3 linked regions of the Arabidopsis thaliana genome follow. The protein of the gene in region 1 interacts with the protein of each later gene in a pairwise test. Each region holds a gene or a part of one and is shown on either strand. Other genes may lie near its edges.

The links.
Region 2: the proteins of GBF2 (region 1) and SMZ interact in a two-hybrid assay, tested with the Arabidopsis thaliana proteins (one large-scale study listed by BioGRID).
Region 3: the proteins of GBF2 (region 1) and SVP interact in a two-hybrid assay, tested with the Arabidopsis thaliana proteins (one large-scale study listed by BioGRID).

What each region holds. Positions count from the first base shown.
Region 1 is NC_003075.7:479,418-489,323, reverse strand, and holds GBF2 (G-box binding factor 2), read left to right. Parts: upstream 1-4,799; 5' UTR 4,800-4,954; intron 4,955-5,325; 5' UTR 5,326-5,353; coding exon 5,354-5,419; intron 5,420-5,517; coding exon 5,518-5,565; intron 5,566-5,657; coding exon 5,658-5,753; intron 5,754-5,825; coding exon 5,826-5,906; intron 5,907-6,001; coding exon 6,002-6,043; intron 6,044-6,126; coding exon 6,127-6,290; intron 6,291-6,372; coding exon 6,373-6,421; intron 6,422-6,508; coding exon 6,509-6,557; intron 6,558-6,648; coding exon 6,649-6,788; intron 6,789-6,880; coding exon 6,881-6,958; intron 6,959-7,051; coding exon 7,052-7,177; intron 7,178-7,251; coding exon 7,252-7,395; 3' UTR 7,396-7,755; downstream 7,756-9,906. Other genes in the region: AT4G01130 (GDSL-like Lipase/Acylhydrolase superfamily protein), read right to left, coding at 1,317-1,573, 1,692-1,962, 2,143-2,300, 2,389-2,607, 3,213-3,456; AT4G01110 (late embryogenesis abundant hydroxyproline-rich glycoprotein family protein), read left to right, coding at 8,268-9,034, 9,130-9,148; ADNT1 (adenine nucleotide transporter 1), read right to left, coding at 9,734-9,817, 9,904-9,906. UniProt on the Arabidopsis thaliana protein: Binds to the G-box motif (5'-CCACGTGG-3') of the rbcS-1A gene promoter. G-box and G-box-like motifs are cis-acting elements defined in promoters of certain plant genes which are regulated by such diverse stimuli as light-induction or hormone control.
Region 2 is NC_003074.8:20,370,250-20,379,929, forward strand, and holds SMZ (Integrase-type DNA-binding superfamily protein), read right to left. Parts: upstream 6,274-9,680; coding exon 5,855-6,273; intron 5,741-5,854; coding exon 5,715-5,740; intron 5,364-5,714; coding exon 5,333-5,363; intron 5,188-5,332; coding exon 5,100-5,187; intron 4,967-5,099; coding exon 4,818-4,966; coding exon of another isoform or gene 4,787-4,817; intron 4,013-4,786; exon of another isoform or gene 4,011-4,012; coding exon 3,931-4,010; exon of another isoform or gene 3,717-3,930; coding exon 3,469-3,716; downstream 1-3,468. Other genes in the region: AT3G54980 (Pentatricopeptide repeat (PPR) superfamily protein), read left to right, coding at 44-2,599.
Region 3 is NC_003071.7:9,575,623-9,586,802, reverse strand, and holds SVP (K-box region and MADS-box transcription factor family protein), read right to left. Parts: upstream 7,157-11,180; 5' UTR 6,387-7,156; coding exon 6,205-6,386; intron 5,298-6,204; coding exon 5,219-5,297; intron 4,933-5,218; coding exon 4,868-4,932; intron 4,753-4,867; coding exon 4,653-4,752; intron 4,568-4,652; coding exon 4,526-4,567; intron 4,415-4,525; coding exon 4,373-4,414; intron 3,902-4,372; coding exon 3,860-3,901; intron 3,762-3,859; coding exon 3,610-3,761; intron 3,219-3,609; coding exon 3,200-3,218; 3' UTR 2,902-3,199; downstream 1-2,901. Other genes in the region: NET2D (Kinase interacting (KIP1-like) family protein), read right to left, coding at 1-714, 818-911; AT2G22530 (Alkaline-phosphatase-like family protein), read left to right, coding at 9,362-9,492, 9,570-9,666, 9,742-9,786, 9,868-10,035, 10,125-10,209, 10,297-10,403, 10,489-10,569, 10,736-10,788 and 2 more. UniProt on the Arabidopsis thaliana protein: Transcription repressor that inhibit floral transition in the autonomous flowering pathway, independent of photoperiod and temperature. Acts in a dosage-dependent manner.

The sequences.
Region 1 (9,906 bases):
ATATCAGTAAAGAACTAAAGATAACAAGAACATTTATTTTTATATCTAATATTATTTGTTCTTGTTAGAATATTTATTTTCATATCTAGTATTAGAATTTTCTCATTTATTATAGGATATAACAGTGTGTTTAAATGAATTCATACTACAATTTGATATAGGTTGGGTGGAAACCATTCCACATTTAGTTTATTAAACCGGTTATTTTGGGTTTTCTTGGTAAAATATTTGATCTTTTGTCATTGATTCTTCTTCATATTTTTTCTTTTTTTTTTTGGTTTTATCCTAACTGTTTTTATATATGAGTAAAATAATTATGAAATGAACTAAAAATATTTGTGGTTGAAACAAAAAAATAAATGAAAATTAAACAACAATGAGAGTGGGATAGTAGGATGAACAACAACATACTGTAATAATCATTTTGAAGTGGAAGAGTATTCGACATTATATTGTTTCCATTAGTTTTAATAGCTGGAAAAGACTTAACCATATTGAAAATATTAGGAAAAGGAAATAATTAAATGATTAGAAATTGGAAATATATTCAAAGTACATAGTTTTGATATTTCTATGTATTGCATATTCGTTACTTGTCTTAGTTTTCGTGTTAAATTTTACACTTTATAAAGTATCATGAAGACTTTATTGCTCTCCCAAGTTTATAAGATAAACTTTATGATTCAAGAAGTATAGGTAAATAAATTTTAACATTTATATCATGTTAATGAAAAATATTGGCAAATTAGTTTTTCTTTATACTTGATTTGATAACATATATTGTAATAATATTACATTTCACGATTTGGATTATTTAAAATATTTAATTTCGGTTCAAATCTACCACATTTCTTCTATAGCGGGAGTTTTTTCTAACGGCTTTCTCACCCAAGTGCAATTGAATATAAGGTTAATTTAATTATTTATTAATAAGTACTTTGATATAATAAATCATATGTGGTATTTGATGAGTATAGTTAACGCATAGCTGATATATATAGTATTACAAGTAATGTCCATACAAAATACGGCGGCACAACAAGATAAAAGATCAATCGTCATTCGTCACGTAAACTTTAAACAAATCTGATATGCACGAAAAAGGTGACAAAGAAATGTCATTTCGTAATCCAATAAATTAAGAAGAATCAAATGATTAGGAGAACAATCGACCTGTAAAGCATATTACGCAATTTTAAACATATACATATAATATCTAATTATCTATATACTTTTGCTTGTCACAACATGCTTAGTTGGTGGATAGTTTAGAAATTCATATTTAAAAAATTAACAACTAATGATCTTATACAAAGCTAAGGCGAACATAGGTTATTGAGTATGAACGGAGGATATGATATCGAACCGTCGAGAATGGCCATGGAAATGTGGTGATTTGCGGCCTCCGTCGCATGAATTCCATCCCAACTCACGTAGTTGTGAGGATCATGGCAAGCTTTGGCCGTCGTAGAAAAATTTCCAATCACTTTGGTGTTGCCACAAAATAACTTCTGATTGAAATTGTATGGACGTCCACCATATCCACAACAAGCTTTAATACCGTGTTTCATACCTTAGATATTATCATATATGAAAGCAAAACAAAAGGATTCGGTTACGTAAAATACCAAAAATTGAAAATTTATCGGTTGAAGTACAACTAAACCAGATAAGGTTATGACATAACGTACCGTAGGATTTGGGGTGTTGAAAGAGATCAAGCAATATCTTGTGCGTGTCTAAATAAATTACGGTAGCGTTTTTTAGTTCGGTTCTGGTCTGAGATAATGTCTTATTCAATAACGTGTTGTAATATTTGACTGCTTTGTTTACAGGAATGAGACATCCATACTTGTCTAAATCAGCATCGGTATGAGTGTAACCGGTTAAAATCGCCGGGTAACATCCAACCGGTGCTAAATTCAATACCAAAAATGTCCGACCACCTATTCCATATATCTCCTACATTCAAGAGCAAATAACTTAAGAGGAGGATATGAACCATACAAAAATCGGATTTCCAAATGGAGAATACGAATTATAAGTGGGTTAAGATAATATCCATACAAATGTTTCGAGATAGTATTAATTTTATAAAAGACTTGATTCTATAAACCAAAAACCTTGTGGTGAGGTTTGTACCTTAATCGTTCCAGCAATTTGGCCTATGACTTGTGGAAGATATAGTTTCACTCTCTCAACTCCAATACTGGCTAAATTGGATGTGAAATCGTTTTGACCAATATAAAACGTGTATAGCGATTTTCCGAAAACAATTTTAGACGGTAAGATCTTCAATCCTAAAACACAAGGAAGTATACGTCATTTGTTTATTATACTCATGATCATTCTATACATGCATCGGTTAGAGACTATAGATATATATACCTGGTCGGTCCAAAGAATGTGACTCGTCGACATTAACCTTGAATTGTTTCATCTGATTCAGCTGAATAGCGAGTGAGAAAGGGCTGATTCCGGAGACAAATAAAGACGTGTTTGGCAAGAGAACCGTGGACGCTAACGTCGCAAAGTTTGCGCCATGTCGAAAATCCGATCCAATAGATTGCAAATATGGGCTTAGGAAAGGCATTCCAAGAGATTTGGCTAAAATAATTTAACACTACGTTTAGCACTATAGTGATAATTTTTGGGTAATAACAGTAAGTATTATAGATTTTGTTTAAAATTTCAATCTAAAATCCTAATTATTAGACCTGGAAAAATAAATTGAACCGAACGTACAGAACCAAATCCGAAGAAATGAAAACCGAGTCGGTACCGAACCAAAATATTTTGAGTAACCGAAAATATCCGAAATATAATTATCTTTTCAAAAATATTAGTTATTTTTTGACTAAATAGTAAAAATACTTGAAAATATCCAAAAAAAATCAAAAAGAACCGAAATATCCGAAAATATTCAAAGCAAAATAACCGAATGGATACTAAATATTTAAACCGAAAGAACCGGAACCAAACCCAAATTTCAAAATAAGCGAATAGATATTAAACATTAGACCCAAACAGATACGAACTGAAACTGAATGGATAACTGAACGCTCGAACTACTAAGTATATCTTAAATATTTTTAAAAAATATTTTAATACTAAAGGATACAAAAAATTATACTTTGTAGAGGGGATTTGATACTGCTGTCATATTATACGTTTTTTGAAAATTTTGAGAGTATTTGTTAGTCATTTGTTACCTAGAAAATCAATGATAAGACGACCGTCTGAAGCACGACCGGCTGGTTTCTTGAAATAAGTCATTCCCCATGGACCAGATTGGGCAGGAAAAGCAGCCCAAAATCCGCCAGTGTCCGAATTCGAGTCTCCGAAGTTGAAAATTGCTTCGAAATCACATTTTGAATCACCTTTATGCCCATAAAGCATCACAATAATCAAGACTAGAAGAGAGAACGATCTTCTTCTGTTTATATCGGAAGCCATGTCTATCTCTGTGTGAACAAAATGTGTGTTTGTATGTGAGAGTGAGGATGAGATATTTGGTGCTATATGATTCTTGTAATCATCCCGTCCGTGACTCTCACTCTCATTGTACGTGTAATTAGTGTGTTATAGCCTTAATGGTTTTTTTAGTCCAACAATTCCCTTTAAGCCCAATAAAAGATAAATAAAGCCCAATCTATTATATTGATTCCAAGGGTTCAATATATATGAGATATGTCTAACAATACATCAAAAGACCAGTTTGAATAACAACACATCAATTTATGGATTGGATATGAATAAGATGTCATGTATGCAACAACCAAATTTGACATTTCTCTTGTAATGCCTTGCAATAAAAGTTATTTTGTTAACTTTTTGCAAAGTATGTGCCAATCAAGAACAGGATAAAAAGGTTGGGTCTAATAATTCAACTACGGCCCAATAATAACCCAATAAAGGAGGGTATTAACGTAAATTTATGTCTTGGACCGGGAGTCTAACTGCACGCGTCAAGTGGCTCCCACTAGAATTGGCATCAAGAACACGTCACCTTGACCTTGTCGGATTTGTCTGAAATTGAATTCATTCTTTTTTTAGTGACTCTCTTAAATTGGAATTAGATCTTCAGTCTAAATCTTAATGATTATAAGAAACAAGATTATATGCATCATTTCGGATTTAAACAACATGGATTAATCTCAACTAATTTAGCATTAAAGATAAGATTTTGTTAACCCTTTTTTATTGGGTGGATCCTACGTGGCGAAGATTGAGTCATCGTCTAAAATTTTAAAAAAGATTTCAAGAAAAAATTAAAAAATGAGCTGGCGTCGAATCCCACGTTGTCCGTAGGGACCACAACGGTATTCCTTATTCAGTGGGACACGTCAGCTTTATAAAACCACTAACGGCCGACACAAGTCAGTAGATCCTACAGTGGGGACCACTCTAACCTTTTTCTGGTTAAAAAAAGATATATTTTACCGTAGATGAAATCAATATTAGCCGTCGATTAAATGGTAAAAACAAATATGCTTGATTTGGTAGTCCACGTTTCGTCATCTGTGGATCTCAAATGAATTATACATTATAGTTTAATTCTGTATTTTCATTATTTAAAAGGAATAAAATCAGCAGCACGTCAAGTCTACGTAGAGATCTCAAGATGAACGGTGGCGATTATGACTACGTGTACCAATCATTATTTAAGTCAGATATTTAAAATGTCCAGCGCAGATCTAGGGTTGCCAGCTCAGCATATGCGTTCCCTTTGCAAACCCTTCAAGATCATGACACGTGTACGGTGACGTGTTCATCAGCCTCTTGGCGCTCCGTTGTGTCTCTCTTCTTTTTCTTCTCTTCTCCTTCCTCTCTCTTCTTTTACCGAACTCTGGTTCTAGAGAGAGAAACCATTCTCTCCGACTAAGAGAGAGAAGCGAATTTGTTTTTTTTTCTTTTGTGGGTTCAATTCGAATTGTTTTCCCTGAGACTCAAGGTACGTTTTTGGATTTTGGTTTTCGTTATTTTCTTCAATGAATATCTGAGTGATTATATATGAACGCTCTGTTTTCTCGAGAAAGTGTGTATTGAGTGAAGAAAATTACTAGGAAAGTTAAAGGTAGATTGAATTGTGTAACTCTACTAGTTGGTGATAGTTTTGAACTTTTGACAGAGGAAAAAACTCGACTTTGAATCTTTTACTGGTAGATTCAGTGGTGCTATACTTTATAGTTACTCGGATCTCTGTTATATTTATAGTTTGATGTCCACAATTGCGAGATCTAGGTGTAATTGAATACTGTTCTTTTAGATTTATGCTTTACAGAGGAACTGCTAAAAGATCTGATCATTTTTTTGTTTATAAAGTTACTGTGTCATTACTCTGCATTGAGCAATGGGTAGCAACGAAGAAGGAAACCCCACTAACAACTCTGATAAGCCATCGCAAGCTGCTGCTCCTGTAAGTAATGGAATCAATGGAAACTGATTGGTTTAGTAACAGATTTGTGTTTAGTCAAAGTTTGATTGTTGTTGTTGTTTTACTTTGTATATATACAGGAGCAGAGTAATGTTCATGTGTATCATCATGACTGGGCTGCTATGCAGGTGATTTTTCTTTGACCTTGTTTTGTTTCTGCTGTGTGAATTGTGTTTTATTAGCCTGAGTGATTTTAGCTTGTTTCTCATGATATTTGTAGGCATATTATGGGCCTAGAGTTGGTATACCTCAATATTACAACTCAAATTTGGCGCCTGGTCATGCTCCACCGCCTTATATGTGGGCGTCTCCATCGGTACTTATATTAAACTTGTTGAATGTATATCTGTTACTTTGGATTGAGTTTGATCTTTCTTTGTTGTTGTAGCCAATGATGGCTCCTTATGGAGCACCATATCCACCATTTTGCCCTCCTGGTGGAGTTTATGCTCATCCTGGTGTTCAAATGGTAATCCTCCCTTCCTTTTAGTGGTTACTTTATATCAACAAATAGTTGAAAAGACCAGATTTACTGATTTGTGTTTTCCTACTTTACTTTACCAGGGCTCACAACCACAAGGTCCTGTTTCTCAATCAGCATCTGGAGTAAGTCAATTGTCTTGTGATGTTTCTGTGTGAAATGTGCAGTATGATGGATATTGGATATGAATGTATGAGAATGTTTGCAGGTTACAACCCCTTTGACCATTGATGCACCAGCTAATTCAGCTGGAAACTCAGATCATGGGTTCATGAAAAAGCTGAAAGAGTTCGATGGACTTGCAATGTCAATAAGCAATAACAAAGTTGGGAGTGCTGAACATAGCAGCAGTGAACATAGGAGTTCTCAGAGGTTTGTCAAACTAGCCTCAACTCTTTCTTATTCAATAGATACTTAGATATATAGAATCTAACGTGGTTTTGATATCAACTAGCTCCGAGAATGATGGCTCTAGCAATGGTAGTGATGGTAATACAACTGGGGTATGGACTCGTCCTCTCTGCTCTGAACTAGGTTTAGATTTATCTTTTGCGATCTTTATTCATATTCTTCTTTTTTTATTACCACAGGGAGAACAATCTAGGAGGAAAAGAAGGCAACAAAGATCACCAAGCACTGGTATTTCTTCCTGAAAAATAACACAACGCAAATAATTGTATGCTTTTAATGTTTACAACTATTTAAAGCTAATGGCTTTTGTACTTGGTAGGTGAAAGACCCTCATCTCAAAACAGTCTGCCTCTTAGAGGTGAAAATGAGAAACCCGATGTGACTATGGGGACTCCTGTTATGCCCACAGCAATGAGTTTCCAAAACTCTGCTGGCATGAACGGTGTGCCACAGCCATGGGTATAGTATTCTTGTGCCACTCTCGTTGACTTCATTTATTCGTGACATCCCCTTTTGTTTGTTTATTGGTGTTAGTGTGTGTTTATCTGCAGAATGAAAAAGAGGTTAAACGAGAGAAGAGAAAACAGTCAAACCGAGAATCTGCTAGGAGGTCAAGACTGAGGAAGCAGGTGATTGCTACTAAACATTTTGTAACTAAAGACTAATGATGAGAGCTGATAGATTTTCATATTTACTTAATGGATTGTTTGTTGTTCACATAGGCTGAAACAGAACAACTATCTGTCAAAGTTGACGCATTAGTAGCTGAGAACATGTCTCTGAGGTCTAAACTAGGCCAGCTAAACAATGAGTCTGAGAAACTACGGCTGGAGAACGAAGCTATATTGGTAACAATCTACTCGCATTTTGAACAGTAATCATAAGTCTATTGATCATAATAACGCTAGTTATTCCTCTGCAGGATCAACTGAAAGCGCAAGCAACAGGGAAAACAGAGAACCTGATCTCTCGAGTTGATAAGAACAACTCTGTATCAGGTAGCAAAACTGTGCAGCATCAACTGTTAAATGCAAGTCCGATAACCGATCCTGTCGCGGCTAGCTGACCGTGGCCGCAACAATGAGAACCCGATATTTCTTCCTTTGGGTTGTGATTGTAACTTAAAAGGAGACTTTTTGTTTTTATTCTTAGATTTGTAGCTCTCTGCATAGTGAGCAGAAATTGATGTAATATGGTTTAAGAGATTCGGTGTTCTCTGGTGTGTGCTGCAACCACATAATTGGTGATAGATAGGTTTAGTTATATAAGCAAATGTATTAGAGATAAGGGGAGACATATTTGATGGTCTTTCGTTTCGTAAACACACTTTTCTTATGTGATATATAAAAGAAGATTTATCACATTAGTCTTCAAAATCGACGTGCTTCCCTTAACCACTAAACGTGAGTGTTTGTTTGTACTTTTGACAGATAATTTGGTGAGATTCCTCGTAAATTGAATACTAAAATCGGTCTGATTAATTCCATATTTGTCATTGTTCAATATCTTGGGATGTTTGATTACTGGAATAATGCATGTTTGAAGAAGAATTTGTATGAAAAAATATGGAAGTCATCTAGAAATCTAGACACAAATGTATTCATTACCAAAGGCCATAAACTCATGACCAAGTCCAATATTTTAAAAAAACATTGAGCAATTCATATTACAGAGAGCCAAAATAATTTCAGTAAGTGGCCAAAGTGTCGGAAAAATCAAATTACTTAATTTGTGTTTGTTGGTAGGACAGGATACACAAGACTTATTTTATTATAGACAAAATCATAACATTGTAATATTTTATAAGACATGAAAGCTGACTATTCAAAATTTAATCTCAATTTTACTTTGTAGTTATAGTTAAACTTAACATTACATGGAGAAGAGAAGAACAGAGATCATCAAAGAAGTTTAACGACCACCACCGGAGACTAAGAAATGGCGGGAGAGACTCTACTTAAACCGGTGCTTCAAAAACCACCAGGCTACCGTGAGCTCCACTCGCAACCTCAAACTCCACTCGGTTCATCTTCATCATCATCATCAATGCTTCGTCGCCCACCAAAACATGCCATTCCTGCGGCGTTTTATCCGACGAAGAAGAGACAATGGAGTCGTTGCCGCGTCTTTTGCTGCTGCGTCTGCATCACCGTCGCCATTGTCATTCTCCTCCTTATCCTCACCGTCTCCGTTTTCTTTCTTTATTACAGCCCGAGACTCCCCGTCGTACGTCTCTCCTCTTTCCGCGTCAGCAATTTCAACTTTTCCGGTGGGAAAGCCGGCGACGGTTTATCGCAGTTGACGGCGGAGGCTACAGCGAGGCTTGATTTCAGAAACCCTAACGGGAAGTTACGTTACTATTACGGTAACGTTGACGTGGCGGTGAGTGTAGGAGAAGATGATTTCGAAACGAGTCTCGGGTCAACGAAAGTCAAAGGATTTGTGGAGAAGCCAGGGAATCGGACGGTTGTGATTGTTCCGATAAAAGTGAAGAAGCAACAGGTGGATGATCCGACGGTTAAGAGGCTAAGAGCGGACATGAAGAGTAAAAAGTTGGTGGTGAAAGTGATGGCTAAAACGAAGGTAGGATTGGGTGTGGGAAGGCGTAAGATTGTTACGGTGGGGGTTACTATCAGTTGCGGTGGCGTGAGATTACAAACGCTTGATTCAAAGATGAGTAAATGCACCATCAAAATGCTTAAATGGTACGTACCTATCCAAGTTAAATGTATATGAAATCTATTTTAATGTTCATCTTGAAAATTAGAATATTAATGTTGTGTTTCTAATTTCAATGCAGGATTAAATTGCACTCATAAGTTATGATGATTGATTGATGTGTCTTTATTTTTTTGGTCGGGATTCAAAACGTTTAAAGATGTGGCAAGAGTTCAGCTTTACGAAAGATCACTGTGTATGTATGTATTATTTGTGTTTTTCTTCTCCCTTCTTGTTTTCACTTTTCACTTTCATATAAATTACGATCCAATATTCTCAATCATTTTTACATCATCTAACAAAGGTGCATAACATGTGTGTGATCAAAGGTACATAAAAATGACACAAGCACATGAATTTTGTAAATAGGCAAAGTAACCAATAAGGGTCATAACAAGAGTGTAAATAATTGAATGAGAAAAGAGGAGCCCAAACATGTTGTAGCACAAACTGCAGTACCAAATGTAGTTGGCCACTGACTTATTTGATTCAGCATAAAAGCATAAACCCAATCTAAGTGTAGAAGAAGAAAAAAAAAAAGAGTTTGGCTAAGCCCCTATAGCCATTTATCCTTCCCACCGGATGTTGAAAGGAGATAAATAAAGCCCCCCTAACTTTGTTGAACTTCTCTTCTGGCTACAAAAATAGAAGTGCGCTTTCTTGACGGCATTGAGATATCAAATGACTCAGTCTGATATCCTAAACTCCACTCCTAAAACGTCTTTCACCATCTCATATGTCACAAATGCAATCGCAATCGATGGTACAACCTACAGAAGAAACACAAACAACACTTCACTTTCTTGAGTTCATCAAATAAGAAGATCAAGAAACGGAGTTTTGTTATGAAACAAACCTT
Region 2 (9,680 bases), on another chromosome or scaffold:
ATCTTTTCTCTGCTGAAGATAGTTGAGAGAAGAACCTCGAAAGATGAGATCTTTATTGGTTTTTAGAAAAATCCCTTCACGGATTCGTCTTCGTAACTTGAGAAACAATAAACCCTTTTGTTCACAGTCTCAGTTTCCCAAAGAATCTGAGAATCCAAGTCAAGAGCAGAGACTACTAGTTTACGGATCCACTTCTGAAGAAAACCCAGTTACCTCCAAAGTGAGTCTTTTGTCTGCGAAGCCTGAACAGAAGGACGATGCATCTGTAATCGATGTTCTTCTCAATCGCAGGAACAACCCAGAAGCTGCTCTTCGTTTCTATAATTGGGCTAGACCATGGCGTGGAAGTTTTGAAGATGGTGACGTCTTCTGGGTACTCATTCATATTCTGGTCAGTTCTCCTGAGACCTATGGACGTGCAAGTGATTTGCTCATACGGTACGTTTCTACGAGCAATCCAACTCCAATGGCAAGTGTTTTGGTCAGTAAATTGGTGGATTCGGCGAAATCATTTGGGTTTGAAGTCAATTCACGAGCTTTTAATTACTTATTGAATGCTTATTCTAAAGATAGGCAAACGGATCATGCGGTGGATATCGTCAACCAGATGTTGGAACTAGATGTGATTCCATTTTTTCCATATGTGAATAGGACCTTGAGTGCTTTAGTTCAAAGGAATTCGTTAACTGAAGCTAAGGAACTCTACAGTAGGATGGTTGCCATTGGTGTTGATGGTGATAATGTAACAACGCAATTGTTAATGAGAGCTAGTTTGAGAGAAGAAAAGCCTGCGGAGGCTTTGGAGGTTTTAAGTAGAGCTATTGAGAGAGGAGCAGAACCGGATAGTTTACTGTATAGTCTTGCTGTTCAGGCTTGTTGCAAGACGCTTGATTTGGCTATGGCTAATAGTTTATTGAGAGAGATGAAGGAGAAGAAGTTGTGTGTCCCGTCGCAGGAAACTTATACTTCTGTGATTTTGGCTTCTGTGAAGCAAGGTAATATGGATGATGCAATTAGATTGAAGGATGAGATGTTGAGTGATGGGATATCGATGAATGTAGTTGCTGCGACGAGTCTGATCACGGGACACTGCAAGAACAATGACTTGGTTAGTGCTTTGGTTTTGTTTGATAAGATGGAAAAGGAAGGCCCCTCTCCGAACAGCGTTACTTTTTCGGTTCTGATAGAATGGTTTCGTAAGAACGGGGAAATGGAAAAGGCGCTTGAATTTTACAAGAAAATGGAAGTCTTAGGTCTTACTCCTTCTGTCTTTCATGTCCACACGATAATTCAAGGGTGGTTGAAAGGTCAGAAACATGAAGAGGCACTGAAACTCTTTGACGAGTCTTTTGAAACCGGTCTTGCAAACGTGTTTGTATGTAACACTATATTATCCTGGTTATGCAAGCAAGGTAAGACAGACGAAGCTACAGAGTTATTAAGCAAGATGGAAAGTAGAGGTATTGGACCGAATGTAGTTTCTTACAATAACGTGATGCTTGGCCACTGCAGACAGAAAAACATGGACTTGGCTCGTATTGTTTTTTCAAATATACTGGAAAAGGGTCTAAAGCCGAATAACTACACGTATTCCATTCTGATTGATGGATGTTTCAGGAATCATGATGAACAAAACGCTTTGGAAGTCGTCAATCATATGACTTCTTCCAATATTGAAGTCAACGGGGTTGTATACCAAACAATTATCAATGGTTTATGCAAAGTTGGTCAGACATCCAAAGCAAGAGAATTGTTGGCAAATATGATCGAAGAAAAACGGTTATGTGTTAGTTGCATGAGTTACAATAGCATTATAGATGGATTTTTCAAAGAGGGTGAAATGGATTCTGCGGTTGCAGCATACGAAGAGATGTGTGGCAATGGTATTTCTCCAAACGTCATAACTTATACCAGCTTGATGAATGGGTTATGCAAAAATAACAGAATGGATCAAGCATTGGAAATGAGAGACGAAATGAAGAACAAAGGTGTCAAACTCGATATTCCAGCCTATGGTGCTCTTATCGATGGGTTCTGCAAAAGGAGTAACATGGAAAGCGCATCTGCTCTGTTCTCTGAACTCCTTGAAGAAGGATTGAATCCAAGCCAACCTATATACAACAGCTTGATTTCTGGATTTCGTAATCTGGGAAACATGGTAGCAGCCCTTGATTTGTACAAGAAAATGTTGAAAGACGGTCTACGATGTGATCTGGGTACATATACAACACTGATTGATGGATTGTTGAAAGATGGAAATTTGATCCTGGCCTCTGAGTTGTACACAGAAATGCAGGCGGTGGGTCTTGTCCCTGATGAAATCATTTACACAGTAATTGTAAACGGTCTTAGCAAGAAGGGGCAGTTTGTAAAAGTGGTTAAGATGTTTGAGGAGATGAAGAAGAATAATGTCACTCCGAATGTCCTTATCTACAACGCGGTGATTGCCGGACATTATAGAGAAGGAAATCTCGATGAGGCTTTTAGACTTCACGATGAGATGCTTGACAAGGGTATTTTACCCGATGGTGCTACATTTGATATTCTAGTTAGTGGGCAAGTCGGAAACCTCCAACCTGTACGTGCAGCAAGTTTGTAGTCTGCCAAAACCAGACCACATTATTGACTGATGACTTAGCTTTGGCTTTTCGTGAGACCCCGATAATATGACTGCTTAAGGTGTGCACTTTTCATTTTGCACGGTTGTAGTATAAATGTTGTTATTCATGAAAGAGGGAGACTCTATAGACTTTCTGTAAAGAAACTAAGAAGGGCCTTCTGTTTTTGTCAATTTTATAAAACATAGAACGAATTCAAACCAGAATAATTTGACTCTGTATTCTTATACTGAGCTTCTTTATTTCCCAACTGAAACCAGGTTCCAGTTTTTCAAGGTCTTCTGAGGCATCTATGTTGGTGGGTGATGAAACCAGTGCACTGAGTCCTTATTAAACTCTTCATATGATTCTTCTAGCATATCGTCTGCTCGAGTAAGGCTACTCCATGTGAACTGGAACAGGAAAACACAAAGCCCTTTTGAAATCTGCCAGATTCAAAACCCAGAAAGGAACCTGCAACTGACACAGAGAATAATATCCACCGGTTAGCCTGCGAGGTTATAGTTATCGGAACCGTTAAGTTACAAGATTCGGATTATCTTTTTATTTGTCTGTCTTTTGCCTGCTTCTGAGATCAACTTTGCTCATAAATGATGGTTTTGGGTTAATCAGTTTATAGCTTGGTCTAAGACTCTTAGTTGCTACTGCCCACTGGTGGTGATGTGCTTTTAGCTTTTTTATGTGCAAATTCTTCGTGATGATAACCACGTTTGGTATATAATTCGAGTTGAAGTTAGAACAAACACTTCCAATATTTCTCACTCATTAAGGAAAGAATCAAATTTTATCCTTGTATACAATAATCAGATAGAGTAAAAATATATATTAGTTAAGAGAGTGTAGAACGATCCTATGGATCAAAACAATTGGACATGGAGGAAGAGGAACTTGTCATGCTGATAAAAGGGAATCCTGATGATGCTGCAACTGTCTTCAGAGGTTTCATGGTTGCCATGGGTAAAAATATCGATGATTGCTTACCGTATAAACCCATCGTGGACCGATTGATACCCTTATAGTAATCGCCTGTTGTCAACTTTATACTTTCCGATGATGATGAAATTCCGAGACTTAGTTCAAGATCATTGTGACCATTTCCTATAAAAATGACAATGTTAATGGATAAGTTGCTCAAATGGAGAGTGCTAAAAATTTTATGAAAAGGTTAGCTAGCTTCCTTGATCAGATTTAAAGTATATGTAAAATTTGTGGTTAGTGTTATATATAGATTGGCAATGTTCACTTAAATTTATCAACCATGCCTTATAATAAACTTAGTTACATTCTGAGTCACACCATATTAATCAATTACCTTTGATATGGGCACCAAACTTCATGGCTCCTTCTCCCTTTCCCAACTCATTGTATTTTATTGCTGCTGCATCCCATCCCCTACGAATTTTGCACATACGTATAAACATTTCTAAGTTTATTCACAGCATAACACTAACTCTTGTTTCATTTTTTTTTTTTAACAATGGTATTCTGTGAAGCATTTACAACGAAACATAAAAGGTAAACTTAAGAAACCATCATCCCCGACAGTATCAAACTCTTGAAACGGACGATGGTTTCAAGCTTGCACCTAAATGGAAACAAACGTAACGTTGGCTTGGTATAGTTTGAGGGGGATATATAAGTAAAAGTATTTGAAAATTGCCATTCACTTAGAAAATTAAATTTGAGTAGAAAATTTTGTACCTTCACGAAGTTTTTTTTTTTTTTTTACTACTTAGTTTTGATTAATTGTATATATATGGACTAATTGATGTATATATGATTGAACTGGATAAAAGTTATTCTTTCTTTTAGTAGTATATAAAAATAAATATTATTAATTAGCTAGCTAGTTTATAACTTTTTTTCAGCAAACTTTAAAATTGTGTAAGACGACAATAACTTTTCCAAAAAGTGAAGGTTAGGCTTTGAATGGTAAAGCACTAGCTAGATGAATAGATAGAATAAAAATAAATTGAATATAGGTGAAATATAGTTAAGATAAGTGACGGATTTATAATATTGTCATCCATGATCCGCCAAGTGAAATGTATTTTCCATGATGTAGATTGTGTAAATAGTAAAATTAGGCCATTTCATCAAAAAGTAGGGAATATTTCAACCATATTTTATTCATACTAATAAGACTAACTATTTGCACTTTAAACTTGTCAAAAGATTACGTGTCTAACAAAATGGTACCTGTTTTGGAAGAGATGAATCTGATCATGAGTTTTGAATTGGGTGCATTTTTGAAGAGCCAAGCCTTTGTATTTGGAACTTCCTCTTCCGAAACTCGCACTCTCTCGCCTAAGTGTTTGCACGAACTCCACCTTATTTAAATTCTTCATCTATACATAAATTGATAATTTTAAAGATCCACATGTATTATTTCGAACTATACAGGGAAATGAATCATCTTCATAACGTAATATATATATATATATATATATATATATATATATATATATATATATGTTTAACCTTATCGATGTCATGCCTATAATCATCCACGACGAAATTGATGTCTGCATCGAGACCACGGAATTTGATAGCAGCTCGGTCGTAAGCCCTGGTATTCATTTATGAATAAGTCAAATTGATATTAATTATTTATTGTCTTCAACAAACTCTAATGTGTATATGTTGACAAAATTAAAACATATTCAAATGACGAATGTTGTAACAAATAATGTGTATATATATATATATTTTACCTTGCTGCTGCGTAAGCAGTATCAAACCCGCCTGTTAAAACGAAAATTAAGTCAAGGAAAAAAAGTTAGATTAATACAAATAATCAACTTGTGTTCACTTAAACGTGAAAGACAGAAGTAACAAACATAGGTAAATGAGCTGTAATAGTCTATTATGTTTTTTTGTCTTTTTACAAAAAAAAAACATACATCCTTTAAAAAAAAAAGAATAGAGGTAGTTGACAAAAAATAAACTTTTTTAACAGACGTTGTCAGAGAAGATCTACAAATCAAAATTATCACAAAAATACGATTGTTTTAAAATTCATCGTTTATGCCTAAAAATAGACACACACGTAATTAAAGATGACCCAATAATTAAATAAAAATCTGATCTACTTACCCAAATAAACTTGCTTTCCACAATCCCTACAAATTAATCAATTCCAAACCCAAAATTAGAGATAAATATAGCAATAATTCAACAAATAACAATATAAAAATGCAATGATAATATTAAAAATGAAATATAATTTGATTTACCAAATATGAGATTCCCAACGACCGGTGCGACGGTAAAAAGTGACGCCACGATATTGGGAGCTACGAGACCTTGGTCCTCTTCTGCTCTTCTTCACCATTTTCTGTGTATTTCTTTGTAAAGAAGAAAGATTCAACCAGTGACTGTCTTCCACGGAGAATTCTATATTCCGACGAGCATCAGCCACCACCGGAAAGAGATCTCCTGTTTCTTTATGAGGAGGAGGAGGAGGAGGAGGAACAAGGTCATCGTCGCGTTTGAGAATTCCAAAAGCGATGAAAGCATCTCTCGCTGCAGAGTCTGTTGTGGAGGAGGAAGATGAGTTAGATTCTTCTTCACCGGTGGTTGAGATCATTAATGGTACTTTCCGATCTTGATCTTCGTTATAAGAAGAAAAGATCTTTAGGTTAAGATCCAACATGATCGAATCTTTAGCTATAAACGACGTTGTTCTTTTTTCCGGCGAGAGAGAGAGGGAGAGAGAAAAAAGAGAGAGGATAAGTGTCAAAAACGAGAGAGAGAGAGAGTTCTAAAAGAGGGAAGAAAAAAAAGAACGTGGGACGTGTTCACTGTGAAGGTTGCATTGGATACACTTGCCCTTTATTTGCCTTTTCAACTCTTTTTTTTTATATATAAAATTGATTTCTATAATTATATGATTGTACTTGCCTTGCCGATGTATCGAATAAACATATTTTGTACTATATATTAGTTTTCATTTTTGTTAATTAAATATGGGAGAGCCGTAGATAGGGTTGTACGATGAGTTTTTATATATTAACACTTTTGATGTTGTAAACTCAACCGCGTTAATACGATGTAATAACAAAAACAAAAGTTTTCTCTTCCTTTTAAGTGAAGTCGACCTGTAATTTTAAAATAGTAAACAAAACTAATGCCATCAAATAGGTGAGGAGAGTAAAGTATAAAGATACTAGCTTATACTATTACTTATGTTCTTTAGCCTTCTACTTGGTAAAGAGACCTCGTGAATATAATATGATAGATTATTTTTCCCTCGTAAAATACAGCTACTTGATTTATCTAATGATACATCTTTTGATCAAGTCATCGACAAGTTTAACAAAATAGATAACATCATAAAGAGTTTAAGAATTTTTTTTTAATGTTGTTTTAGTATTAAGATCAAAACCAAAAGTCAAACCTTAAAGGACGTATTATATTGTGATTGGTTGAAGAGTAAGTAGTTTTTAATTTCTATGCATTATATCAAAAAACAAGCGTTATTACTTTTATTTTTCAAACCAAAGCATTCTAATTTGATATAGTTTAATGCCGAAGAAATTTGTTAATGCATGCTCGAATGTGGAATTGTCTGTAAGATTATAAATTTGTTCTTAATTGACAAGTGTACGTTATTAGGCCTAGTGTGACCACAAACAAAATATAATTGAAAATAAGATAGCCCCATCAATTATAAAAGTACTAAAAAGTCAATATCTGAAATTTTCAACAACCTAAATCTAGCAATATTAGGAATTTGCCGACTTTTACAAATTTTCAATTTATCCTTAATTAGCAACAGATTATATAGCGATTATCGATGCGATTATGTTTGTTATTGGTAACACAATTTCTCAGCAAAATTTAGAATTTTGAGGAATAATGAGCCGTTGTTGTCAATTTTTTTTTATTTTAAATGTTATTTCTTAATCATTACTTATTTTTATCCTTCCTTACATAAAATGACCTAAATATCTTTGATTTTCGGAAAACGTAAGTTAATGATGAGAATGAATAGTAGATGGGTAAAATCCAATAAATAATTTTTTTATTTTTTTTGGTAAGGATAAATAAATTTTTATATTATATCTGAATTTGTAATTTCTTCTAACATGTTAGTAAATTATACGATTAAAAAAGAAAATATGAAACACAATTCAACATAGTTATTTCACATTTTAAAGCATTCAACAACAAAATTAACCGGTTAACATCGTCTACTCTCTGCATTTTAGTAATAAAATTAGGTCATTATTTTTCGATAAAATTCATTAAATTTGGCATTTAGCGACAACAATTATTGATAGGTCCCTCGTGTGATTCCAACGTGTCAAGATATGAAAAAAAATCTAACGGTCAGGGATTTTTTGGTACTTCGCGTCGCAATGGTATCTTCTCAACGTGTTAAATAAACCCACATGTGATTTTGTTTCTCTATGCGTCATTTAACGAATCAGGACAATCCTTTCTCTATCTTTTTTTCTTTTTCTTTTCTTTATTTTGCCAAAGGACAACCCTTTTCCATTTAAATTAAAGATTACGATATATGGATAAAACATAGCAACGAAAAATTAGAGAGACCGACAGATTTTTTTTGTTAGTTTTATATTATATTTTATTTATCACACATTTTAGAAGAAATTAAACCTAGTTGTTGTGCTTTCGCATCCCAATATACATAAATCACAATCAACTGAGATTTCGTAAGAGTTGATTTAGGTTATGGTTTAATCTATAAGAAGGAGATACCATTTGCATTTCATCTTTATACTGAAATATTGGTGAAGAAAAGGAGTTTCAAATGGACTGTCATAAATTTAAATAAACCATTTAAAATATTTTAACTATCCTTCTTTAACACATTCATCCTCAAGCCTTTTTTTTCTTCTTCTTTATCACTAGTGGGATGGATCTTCAATTCCAAATTATTGGAGGAACAAGAAAGATGATAATCTAGACCACAACATAAACTATACAATAAAATGATAAATGTGTTATAGTCAATGAATAAAGAATAAGAGAGATGGTGTGATGTTTACACGTTTGGGGCCTAAACCAAAAAAAAAGGATGGGTCCAATATGCCAACTACTACTATTGTATTGAGAGTAGGAAGAGAGAGAAACCTTAATGGAGACAGAGGGACAGTGGGGTTATGTCAATTGTCATATTATTCAACCACTCACCAATCACTCACTCCAAATCTATATCTCTCTTTTTACAAATAATTATGATAGATTTGATGATAAGTTGGTTCTCAAATCCCAGCCGTTCAATTTATCCAGATATGCAAGAAAATATTAGATTTTAAGGAATCGGCCTTTCCTTATTTGGTAAGACTAAATATCTCTGTTCATTCTAGTTCCAATAGGTAAAAGAGTAACCTTTTTTCTTACATTATTAATAACTTGCATTGCACAATAACGTATTACCCTATAATTCACAATGATAATGTGTTTTGAAGTCATCTACACACTTCAAAGTTTATTACTCAATCGAAAATTGAAATATTGTCTACCACTCAAATTTCTTGAAATGGTTAAAATACTTGAACGTGTACTATATGCAAAAATCTCTGATATTTAACTGCTTTGAAATTTTTATCAGAATATTACTAGTGATGGGTCAATTTCTTTGTTAACCTTGTGCTTTATGCACTTATGTTTATAGTCTCTATTTTCTACACCTAAACAACACAATCTATTTGTAGGTTGCAACTCGGACCCAAATTTTTTGCTAAATTTTTTGTTGAAGTCTTATATTAAGCTAGGATTGTGACTTAAAATATGAATAAAACTCATATTGTTGGCTTAAAAAACGAATTAGGATGTTTGTATTTAGTAGGAACATAGTGTTATGAAACCACATCTGATAAACACATGATTTTAAAGTGTTTTAAAAACTATTCTAGCTTCAAAACCAGTTTCTCATTCATCCCGAATCTTTTTTTCCATCACATATATAGTAAATTCATGATAGAATTTTAATTTAACCTAAATATATATAGTTCATAGTTGGTTATGTTCAATCGATTAGAAGGGTTCTGTTGGATCCGAATTCGAGACCTAGGAACTACACCATGATAC
Region 3 (11,180 bases), on another chromosome or scaffold:
AAGACTTCTCTTGCTTCTCCTGCAACTCCACTAGCTTCTCCTGACAAGACTTTATCGCAGTCTCGGTCATCAATCTCCGAGCTTCCTCGTCTTCAATCGCAACACTCTCACCAAACTCATCCTGCAAACCACAGATCCTCTCTTGTTTCTCCTTAATACCTTTTTCAAACTCCCAATACTTAGACAAACCTATCTCATAAGAACTCTTCACAAACTCCTTCTCCGTCTGCAACGCCAAAATCTCTTTCTGCAACTTATCAATCTCCCCCATCGCCTCAGGCTTACTCAAACCCGAGCTCTTAACAACAACATTCGTAGAACCACCCGTGTACTTCATAGATTTCCTCGGCTGAAGCTTCTTCGTAGCCACTCTAACCGCACTCTTCAAATCCTTAACAGGCAGTTTGGGAACATTAGGGACATTAGCACCAGAAATATTCGATCTTTTAGCAAATTTAGACATATCAATATCATCATCCATGGCAAAGTTTGGAACTTGATCAGGAAAAACAGAGGCGATCGTCGTGTTAGCATTTTGAAGCTCTGTAGAAATATGATCATAACGTTCAGCTAAAGCTCTATAAGCTCTGTAAGATTCTTCAACGAAGCTAATGAGTTCTGGTCTCTTCTTATAATACATCTCTGCACGCTTCGCAAACGAATCTCCATCTTCTTGTAATAGCTTCAACACATATTGAACCTTCTCTTCAATATCTACAAATTCATATCCAAAACAAAAAATAGATCAAACCTCAAAGATCTCAACTTTTTAGAAACAAACACCTATATAAAGAGACATGGATTCAAAAGGAGAGACCTTGAAGGTTTTGTTCGAGCCATTTAGATTGTTTGGTTCGAATATGACTCGCCCACCACCATGAATACGCATTACTCGCAGCTCGTTGCAGCATCGTCGTAAAGTTTTCGTTTTTTCAACTCTTTTTGATCGTATTCATTCAAATTCCCAGAAAGATTGTAACTTTGATATGTGTGTGAACCAACAATCTCTCTCTGTAGAGTCTAGATCTTAATAAGAAAAGAAAAAGAAAGAGAAAAGTTTCGGTTTTTAGAGAGACCCACAAGGAAACTTAAAGGTCTTTTTTGGTTGTAAATCAAAATCAGAATTGAGGAAAGAACGTGCAACAATTGAATCTCTTTTTTTTTTCTTTCTTTCTTAGAGAAGAGCGATCATGGGTGGGAGCAAACTTCGCTCTTCTTTCTCTCTCTCTACCTTAATAGTATTTTGGTAAAAATATTTTAAAGACTATTAAAAAAAAAATTGTTACAAAATTTTCAATATTTGATTTATATGTACGAATGGTGTTTACACGAATGTTATAGTGCCAGCGTCGTGGTAGGAGAAGTCGGAAGGATTCTCTTCCGATGATTCTTATGAATCATCAAACGTTACAGAACATGTCAGAAATGTATGATTTTATTAAATTAAACTAGATTTTAACCCGCGGTATACCGCGGAGACAATTCATTTTTTAAAATTAATATATATAAAATTTTGTAAATTATTTTATAGTTTACTATTGTTACTAAGTAACGTCCTGCCAAACCCGTCCTTCCAAACCCGTCCACAAAAAAAAACTATTTATTTTATTAATATTGATCTTATTTATAATATGTTTATGAATCATTGTCAAAATATTTTAGTCGTTGCGGGACGTTGAACCCACACATTTTTCGCCAATTGGTTAATATATATGTTCATTCTTAAAATTTCGAATCACAAAATATGACGAAATTTTTTTTGAGATTTTTTTAATTTTATATATTATATAATAATGTTAATTAGTTTTGATAGATTAAACTTTTTATAAATTCAAATATTAATAATGTTTTATGAAGTTTAAATATATAAATAATAATATTTAAAAAATTAATATTTTTTGCCTTTTAGGTAATGATATAATAACTCTAAAAGCAAAAATTTAGAAGATTTAAATCTTTAAATAAATATTTTCATGTCTAAATAATTAATGTGAAGTTTATGCTAATTTTAAGGGATTGATGTGAAGTTTGTTTGGATTAAATTTGATTGATAATGTGATTGACAATTTAAATTAAAAATTTAATGTAAAATTAATTATTTTGGAAAAAAAATTTAATGTTAATGGCATTGAGTTGTAAATAAATCTAACTCTAAGATTTATTTGCTAAAATAGCTGCAAAAATGTATATATAGATTAATCTGACAAAGAATTTTAGTGGATAAAGGAATGTGAAAATGTCGTTTTGTTTAATAAAAAAGTTGTAAAGATGTTGAAGCAAGCAAAGAATTTAATCATTAAGTAATTGAATCTTAAAGAACTTTTTTCCCCTTTGTGACGGTTTAAACATAAAACCGGACACGTTTTGATGAACCGGTCAAAGGTCGGTGTGTAACGATCCGACCAGAACCTTCTTTCTTGTGCAAAGTATCTCTAAAACGTCAAACCTCATTATATAGAGGCCCATTTACTGAATTTTGAGAAAATCTGAAACTTTTTTAGATTTTGGACGTTGTGTAACGAATGATGAATTAGAAGCAAAGTTTCAAACCATATTCATATTTCTTGTTGCTAACATAATGAATCGTATGAATATGGTTTGAAACTTTGCTTCTAATTTATTATCATAGAACTCAGTCTCATCCAACCGCACAGCTCCAACTAAACTACAAATGTGTTTCTCAAACAAGACACATTGCAAGTGTCACACACACAAGTAAGATCATCAATTCACCAGAATCATCACCAATGAAGACACTTGAAATCTCTGGTCTGAGAAAACTTGTAAAACTTTGCAACAAATTCAACAAAACAACAAGATGAATTCGAATCACACTTTTGTTACACTAAAATTTCTAATGAGACTGAGTCCTATGATGATTATTAGTTATTTGAGGCATCACTAAAATATATTTTTGATCCCTAACCAAGAGTATATCGATAATCAAAATTCTACAATATTTTATATTCTAACTTTCCATAACGAGAAAGTTTATCGGTGACAAGCGTTACTAACCAGAAATGCAGTGAAGAGAGATCATACATAGTGAAAATCATAAAAATGAAAGCCTCTTCCATAGGCAGAAACTTACACAAACATTTGAGAATTCACTACTTAGACATTGTCTCTTGTTACTACCGAGTTAAAAAGATTTACATTACTCTCCTCACTCCATCAACTTCTTTGAATTGTTCCATCTCTAACCACCATACGGTAAGCTGCACAACACCATACATTAAATCAATAACTTATTTTTTAGAGTGATTTTGTAGATGATTAGATTTGTGCCAGAATTTTCAAAAAACAAACCATAAATAAGTGGTGTTTTTTATGACAGGTAATTTTAACAAATAGCATGATATCATGTAAAATATACAAAATAACATGTTATTTGTTAGAATTACAAATATACAACAAATAAACCAAATTTATTTACGATTCTGTGTCATCCATATCTTGCAATGCCAATAAATATGGACAACATACATGTATATGGTCGTTTAAAGTATATATTTTTATATTCTTTGTCTCAATTTAAAAACAAAAAAAAAATCATGTAAAGCTATCAACTCAAAAGAATGTAAAAAGAAAGGGTGATTAATTGGTTACCCGAGCCTAAGGGAAGTGTCGGAGCTCTCGGAGTCAACAGGCGCTCCGGTAGAGTTTCCGGCGTTAGTAATAGACTCCGACGACTGTCCTTCCTCGTACACAGCAGCGTTCTCCGATTCAGCACCACCGTGTGCATGCACATTGTTACATATCTACACGTAACCAAAAAAAAATATTCCAAATTTAACATTAAACTGATAACAAACATACAAAATTCAAAATAATCAAGACTATATATATATCCACGTACTTGCATGCCAAGTCGCTCGTTCTCTTCCGTTAGTTGCGTTCCCTGCAAAAATCAAGACAAAACATATCATTAAGTTCTCTAGCTAAGTATTTGCATTTTGTGTTTTTAGTGGCACCATGTGTTTTGAATTTCTCTAGAGATCAACTAACTACGAATGAGCAAATCTTGACATGAAGCCTCGACCAAACTATATATCAAACAAGAATTAGATATATATTCGTTTATGGTTCCCTGTTTCAAAAAACAAAATGAAGATGAAAAAGAAAAAACGCACCAAATCCATGCATGCACACTCGTAGACCTCTAGGACCCTAGAGACTAACTAGCTACATGGTTACCTTTAGTTTTAAAGACATTTTTAAATCGCGCTATATCACTTGGTTTATTCATTTATCTCACAGTATGATCAAACATATGTGTTGTAGACAACTGGGGATTAAATTTAGGGGTGTGTACGTTAATGGTAGACAAAAGAAAGGGATTTGTTATCAACAGAGAGGGTAAGACACATACTTGCTGCCTCAACCGCTTGTTCTCATCCATCAATTGCATTCCCTGAACACCAAAAAAAAAGAGAAGAAGATGAAAATTTTGGATCTTGAAACTGCCAAAATTAATATTGAAATCATCAAGTAAAGAATAAACGTTATTTTGGTTAATTATTACCTTTTTCTGAAGTTCGCTGATCTCACTCATAATCTTGTCACTCTGCAAACACATCTCGTATTAGTAAATTGCATACTCGTAAGCTTAGAGAAACTTATACATGGTATCAAGTAATTTTCTTAACAACCTTTGTTTCAATCACACGCGTCAAACCAGTTTCAAGGGCCTTCTCTAGCTGCTGAAGCTCTTCAATGTCAAGTCCTTGAAGTTCCTCTCCTCTCATTTGCCTATATATGATCATGTAAACACACAGTTAGAAAATGATAGTGGTTGATCAAAAAAAAAATTAGTTAGAAAATGATAGTTAGTTCAAAAGTCATAGAATATACATATATAACGTACCTTAGTCGGTGGCTCTTGTCCGCAATTTCTTTACTCATTCGGGCGTGATCACTGTTCTCAACCAGCTAACAGAATAAAACATTGATTTAAGCTCTTAATCATATCCATAATGATCTAAAGCTCAACTCTCTACACAGGACTACTCTACATGACTACTACATGGATCGAGTCTAATTAATCATATGCAATAATATAAAGTTTTGTACCTATTAATACAAAGTTTTAAGAGATTCTTGGTCAATAAATACAACAATCTAAAACATATTGGTAATTCAACGGAGTAATACTCGATTTTGCAAGTTACAGAAATCGGGAAAGAAAATGTGTGGTCGTTTCGAGAATGTAGCTAACCTGTAACTCAAGAGATGGCTGATCAAGCTTCTCCAAGTTCTTTGACTGCAAGTTATGCCTCTCTAGGACTTCCTTCATGCTTCATAATATAAACACATTCCAATAAATAACTTATTATAAACAACTATACTGTTGATATTAACAATGTGCATATGTAAACACCGACAATATACCAAAATCTAAAATCAAAAGATGCAAACCAAATCCACAAAACACATTTAATCCCAAACATGTACATTATTTCATGTTAACACTATCGTTTTCAGTTACATATATACACAATTATCTGTGAAAGTGTGTATGTCCCCGAAGATAGGAACTGAGCTGATAACTAGTGGGTCAAAAATCCAAAATCGTATCTCTGTAATACGATAAGTCATTTTAGATCCCTAATATCAATAATATCTCTCTAAATGACTTTTCCCAACACTAATAAAGATTCCAACATATCTATACATATACATATATATATATATATTATTTTTAGATTACTTCTTCAAAGGGAAAGCTTTATACATCCACACATATAGATACTTCCTCATGTTATGGTACCCACATATTTCTATATAAATATGACATTGACGGCTTAAACATATCATACCACAATATCTATATACATAGATTTATACATGGTTGACACAAATACCTACTATAGAGCATGTATTTATATACTAATAATATACATATATGCATATCCAGATTTACATCTTTTTGAATATTACCGTAGTTAGATACCTTAATTTATCTAAATACAGAGTTTTACTATACACTTTATATATGTCATTTATGGTCATGATTAATGTTTCTAACAACTATTTTAATTATATAAATAGTTAGTGGTCCTATAAAGATTGATACAGTAAACTCCTATGTATCAGATATACATCTAAAAACTCTTTAAAGTTTTTTGTCTGGATCTAGACAAGATTCCTTCGATGAGTTATGAGAAATCTATAGAGAGGGAAGTTAGAGAGAGAAAGAAAGACCTGGAGCTACAGAACTCGAACAGTTTTCCGGTGGAAGAGAAGATGATGAGAGCGACATCGGCGTCGCAGAGAACGGAGAGTTCTTCAGCTTTCTTGAAAAGCCCTCTTCTTCGTTTCGAAAACGTCACTTGTCTCGCCGTTGCGTTGTCGATCTTCCTGATCTGAATCTTTTCTCTCGCCATCACAACGAACAAAAAAACCCTAGAAGCAAGAGAGAGAGCTTAGGTTTTGATTTTAATGGATCTTTCGAGAACGGGATTGATTTTGATGGATCAAGATTCAAGAATGAGAGATGATTAAAGAGAGAGTAAAGAGAAGAGATGGAGGAGGAGGAAGAAGAAGCCAGAGGAAATAAATTTTGTGAGAGAGAGAATTTTTGCTAAAAAGGGAGACTTTAAAGAAGAGAGAGAGAGTGACAAGACGACTGAAATGGAAAGTAAATCGTGTTCTTTTTGCTAAATTTAGAAGAATAAATATGATTTCAAGACAGTAAAAACCCTAGTTTTTGAAAGATTTGAAAGAAAGAACACACTCAGTCTTTTGTGAGAAGAATTAGATCTAGTCGATGAATCAACAAGGAAATTAGAGAGGATCAAAAGAAAAAAAACTCAAGAAGAAGAAGAAAACTAAAGGAGAAAAAAAGCTAAGGGAATATATTTAATTTTCCACCTCAAAGGTCGAGGAGAGAAGAAGACATGAGAAGGTTTTGATTGGTGAAGGATGAGATATTTTCAGGGAGAGGTTTATTAATTTTATAATACTATCAAGATGATGGGGTTTCTTAAATGATTATTTTTGGAAAGAAAACGATATATATTATATTTTTAGTTTTAGTTTTTTTTTTGGATATTGGTCTGTGTGTGGTGGTTATTGGATATGGTGAGGTAATAGGATTTATAAGTCTCCAATGAGATGAGAGAGAGAAGAGAAGTGTGTGTTTGGGTCAGTGGGGAATTTCTTTTTATAGGGAAGCATAAAATGAGTTGTCTCACTTTGTTCACTTATACTCCTTGTAACTAATTGGTTGGTATTTACTGCAAAAACTAACTAGAAGACCTGAAGAACATCAAGGGCTACAACGTATTTTCATTTTTGTAAATCTACGTACTATATGGTAATGGTACCTCATAACAAAATTCAGAAAGAACAAAATAATATCAACTGTATATTATTTTTATTTATGTAAAAACATTTGGGAAGATGACATTTCAGAATTTTTCTGAGGACAATGTTTTGTTTTTACTGAAAGAAATAAGTTTGTGAGTTCGGCCTTGGTTTGTAAGAATCCAACTCGGAAATGACAAAATAATTTGTTAATTTCAAAGACATTAGTGCAATAATTTTTGAAAATTTAGTAGTCAATCATGTGGCATATAACTTGTCGAAAAATTGTGTCCTTAAAAAAAGAGGTTTGTAACCTAATGAACCATATCTACTCAGATACATGTAGTCCATTATACAATTACAATCTATGCACTAATTTGGAAAGTTTGTCATGCACAAATAAATTTTGTTCAATCCCAGTAACAATTACACACACAATGGGGGTATCAATCATCACTGAAGTATTTTTTTATAAAACCAATTGAATATGTAACTCAAAATAAAATTTAAATGAAATCACTTTCTTACGAGGTTATTTATCATTTAACATTTTAATACATAAGCTCAACATTACAAATCACATATACTTCACCAACGTCAACAACAGAACCAAACATATGATTTCAATCGCCACAATCATCATTCCATAGACTAAAAAGCAATTTACAAAACCGTGATTAAAGGTAAGAAAATAAAATTAAAGGGTTTTTAAAAATAAAATAATGTTTAAGCATACCTTCATACGAAGAAACAGTGAATAGAGGGACCCTCGAGGCACGAGCCAGAGTAAAATAAAAAGTGTCGACCACTAAAATTTTTCAAAGGGACCCAAAACCAGACCCGAAGCAGCCACAAGAAATCTGATTGGGACACGATCCATTGTCCGTACAGAATTTTATTTCTAAATTAAAGTTTTACCCAAATAAAGATACTCCACGCAACTACTACAAACCCATTCTTCTTCTCTTTATTACTCCAAGTTTGCAATAATCTACCCTTCAAGAATACATGTGGCTCGTATCACTCACCCCCTATTTGAGTATTATTTACTCTTCCGACGAAACTCTTGTGTTGTATTATTGCGAATTTATTATGATACTATATGAATTATGAAGTTGCAAACGGTAAAAAAGTCATATGGTTGATGTGATTAATACGGTGTTAAATATAATTATGGTTTGCGTTAATTTACTGTAAACTCTTTTCTTTTCTTCTTTAACTCTTTTCTATCTAATTGGGTAATCAAGCAAATATAGTTGAATTATAATTTGAAATTTTTGTTGACAACAAAATATTAATATGGTTTGCGTTTGTGTTCTACGAGTAATGGAATTATGGAAGTTTTTAAAACAAAAATGTAGTATTTTTTGAAAATTTTGATGACGTATATTAGAAAACACTAGAAAACAAAACCTTCTAGTGGTTAAAGTTGCTAGGAGAATAACTATAAGAGAGGTGGCCTGATCGATATTACTTATTTCGGCATAATACATATTCCTTTCTAACGTATTTTAAACAAAGAAAATCGTTGAGTTTTTTTCAGCTTGGTTTGGTTTCGAAAAAAAAAAAGTTTGTTCACTCACAAAATTATTATCAAGTAATGTTTATTCATATTTGTCATGGTTTGGTAAAAGTAGATTAAATTTGGTAGAACATCCATCAATTGGCGTTTGGAACCGCATGAATCATTTATATTTGAAATTGAATAGTGTTTAGAGGCGCACGTGACACAACTGGTGAGGTCTTTGAGTTTTGATTGGTCAAAGTGTCAGAGTTTTTATGAGTAGACGACTCGTGACCTTTCCCTTAACAGTTCCAAGCCTCTCTAATGAAACATTGCACCTAACCTTTTAGCCATTTTAGGCTTCTTTCTTTCTACACAGTCCCTACACTACACACTCTCTCTGACACATCAAGGAAACTACAGTCACCGTTATCATAAAGCGGAGTCCCTAATGGGCTTTTTATTATTATTGGGCTTTTATTAGGCCCAAATTTTCCTTACGAGTAAAATAAGTATTATTTTGGTTCAGTTTCTCGCCGGATCCTGAAAATGACGACGGCGGCGATGACTTGTACGAGACTGACGATATTTACGGTGGCCGGAATATTACTTCAGATTATTGGCCTCTCCATTTTCGTATTCGGTTTCTTCCCCGTCAAGCCGACTCTCTCCGGCGTCAGGTACTACTAAATCAATAACATTTGAAGTCGAAGAAGAAGAATCTACGCTCTATTGATTTGTTTATTTGAAATGGCAGTGGCTCGGAGAGCTATCGAGATCCATTCTGTGATTCTTCTCTGATTTCGAACGAATCGGAGCTTCATCATCCAGAGAAACTGAGATTGCTGTACCAGGTATTTGTCTCTTTTGTGAATCCAAAAACAAATGTGTAAAGTTCCCTTTTGAGTTTGATAGTGGTGAATTTGTAGGAGTTATCTGGAATCTCTTCCAAATATGATCGACTGATTTTAATGGTATGTTGCACTTTGTTAAAATTTTGATTTTGATCTTTGTGAGAGAGTGTTTTTGAGGATGTTAAAGCGATGCTAGTTTAGGTTATTGATGGGCTACCTGCGGAGTTCGTTCTTGGGAAAGATGGTAAACCTCCAGAGAAGGTTTTGAAAGAGTCTATGCCTTATACTCAGTCACTGTTAGCTAATGGAGATGCTATTGGTTACCATGCTAAAGCAGCTCCTCCAACTGTTACCATGCCGAGGTTAAAGGTGTGTGTATAGTTGTGATTAAGTGGATGATCACAGTCTAAATGAATTTATTTGCTTGCTTAGTTGATAGAATTCATTGTTTTTTTCAGGCAATGGTTTCTGGGGCAATTGGTGGTTTCTTGGATGTTGCTTTTAATTTTAACACACAAGCTCTCTTAGATGATAATATTCTTGGTAACTATTAGTTTTCAACAATGAGAAATTTTTCATGCTTGCAAACATTGAAAGAAAAGCTATGTGACATTGGTCCAAATTTACCAGGTCAGTTTTTCAGGATTGGTTGGAAAATGGTGATGCTCGGTGATGAGACGTGGCTCAAGTTATTTCCAGGGCTATTTATGAGACATGACGGTGTTAGCAGTTTCTTTGTGAGTTAATGTGATGTTTGGTTTTGTTGATTGCTTTTCTTATCGACATCATGGTCATCTGAACAAAAAATGTTTTTTTGGACAGGTCAAAGATACAGTACAGGTAGACAGAAATGTTTCTCGACACTTGCCCGATGAGCTAAACAGTGATGATTGGAATCTCTTGGTTAGTTTTTACTTTTTCTTTTATTCCCCAGTATTGGCGTCTGGTTCATTTAACGCCAATGGATTGTTCTCTGCCTTAAAATATATACTGACTTAAACAAAAATTCCTCTTGTATATCAATTGAGCTTTTCTGTGCTTTATTCTTACTAGATCTACCCCTTATCAGATCCTTCATTACCTTGGTTTAGATCACGTTGGACATACTGGCGGCCGTAACAGGTCTTTGTTAGTTTCATAACTCATTTGTGAGTAGAAAGGTTACTAGTTGCATGGCTTATTCATCTTATTATTTGTTTCTCTATACTAGCCCCTTGATGCCTGCAAAACTTAAAGAAATGGATGATATAGTTAGAACAATGCATTTAAGAGCCATGATGGATCGCAGCCATGATCAAGGACAGACTCTTCTGGTCAGTGACTTTTCGTATTTGAAGGTCCATTTGACTTTCATATGTCAAGAGTCAATCTTATTTTTGTTACATATACAGATAATAGTCAGTGATCATGGCATGACTGAGAATGGAAATCACGGAGGGTCGTCATATGAAGAAACTGACTCCTTAATGCTCTTTATTGGCTTGAATAGCAATATTTCTGACTATGCTTCAGCT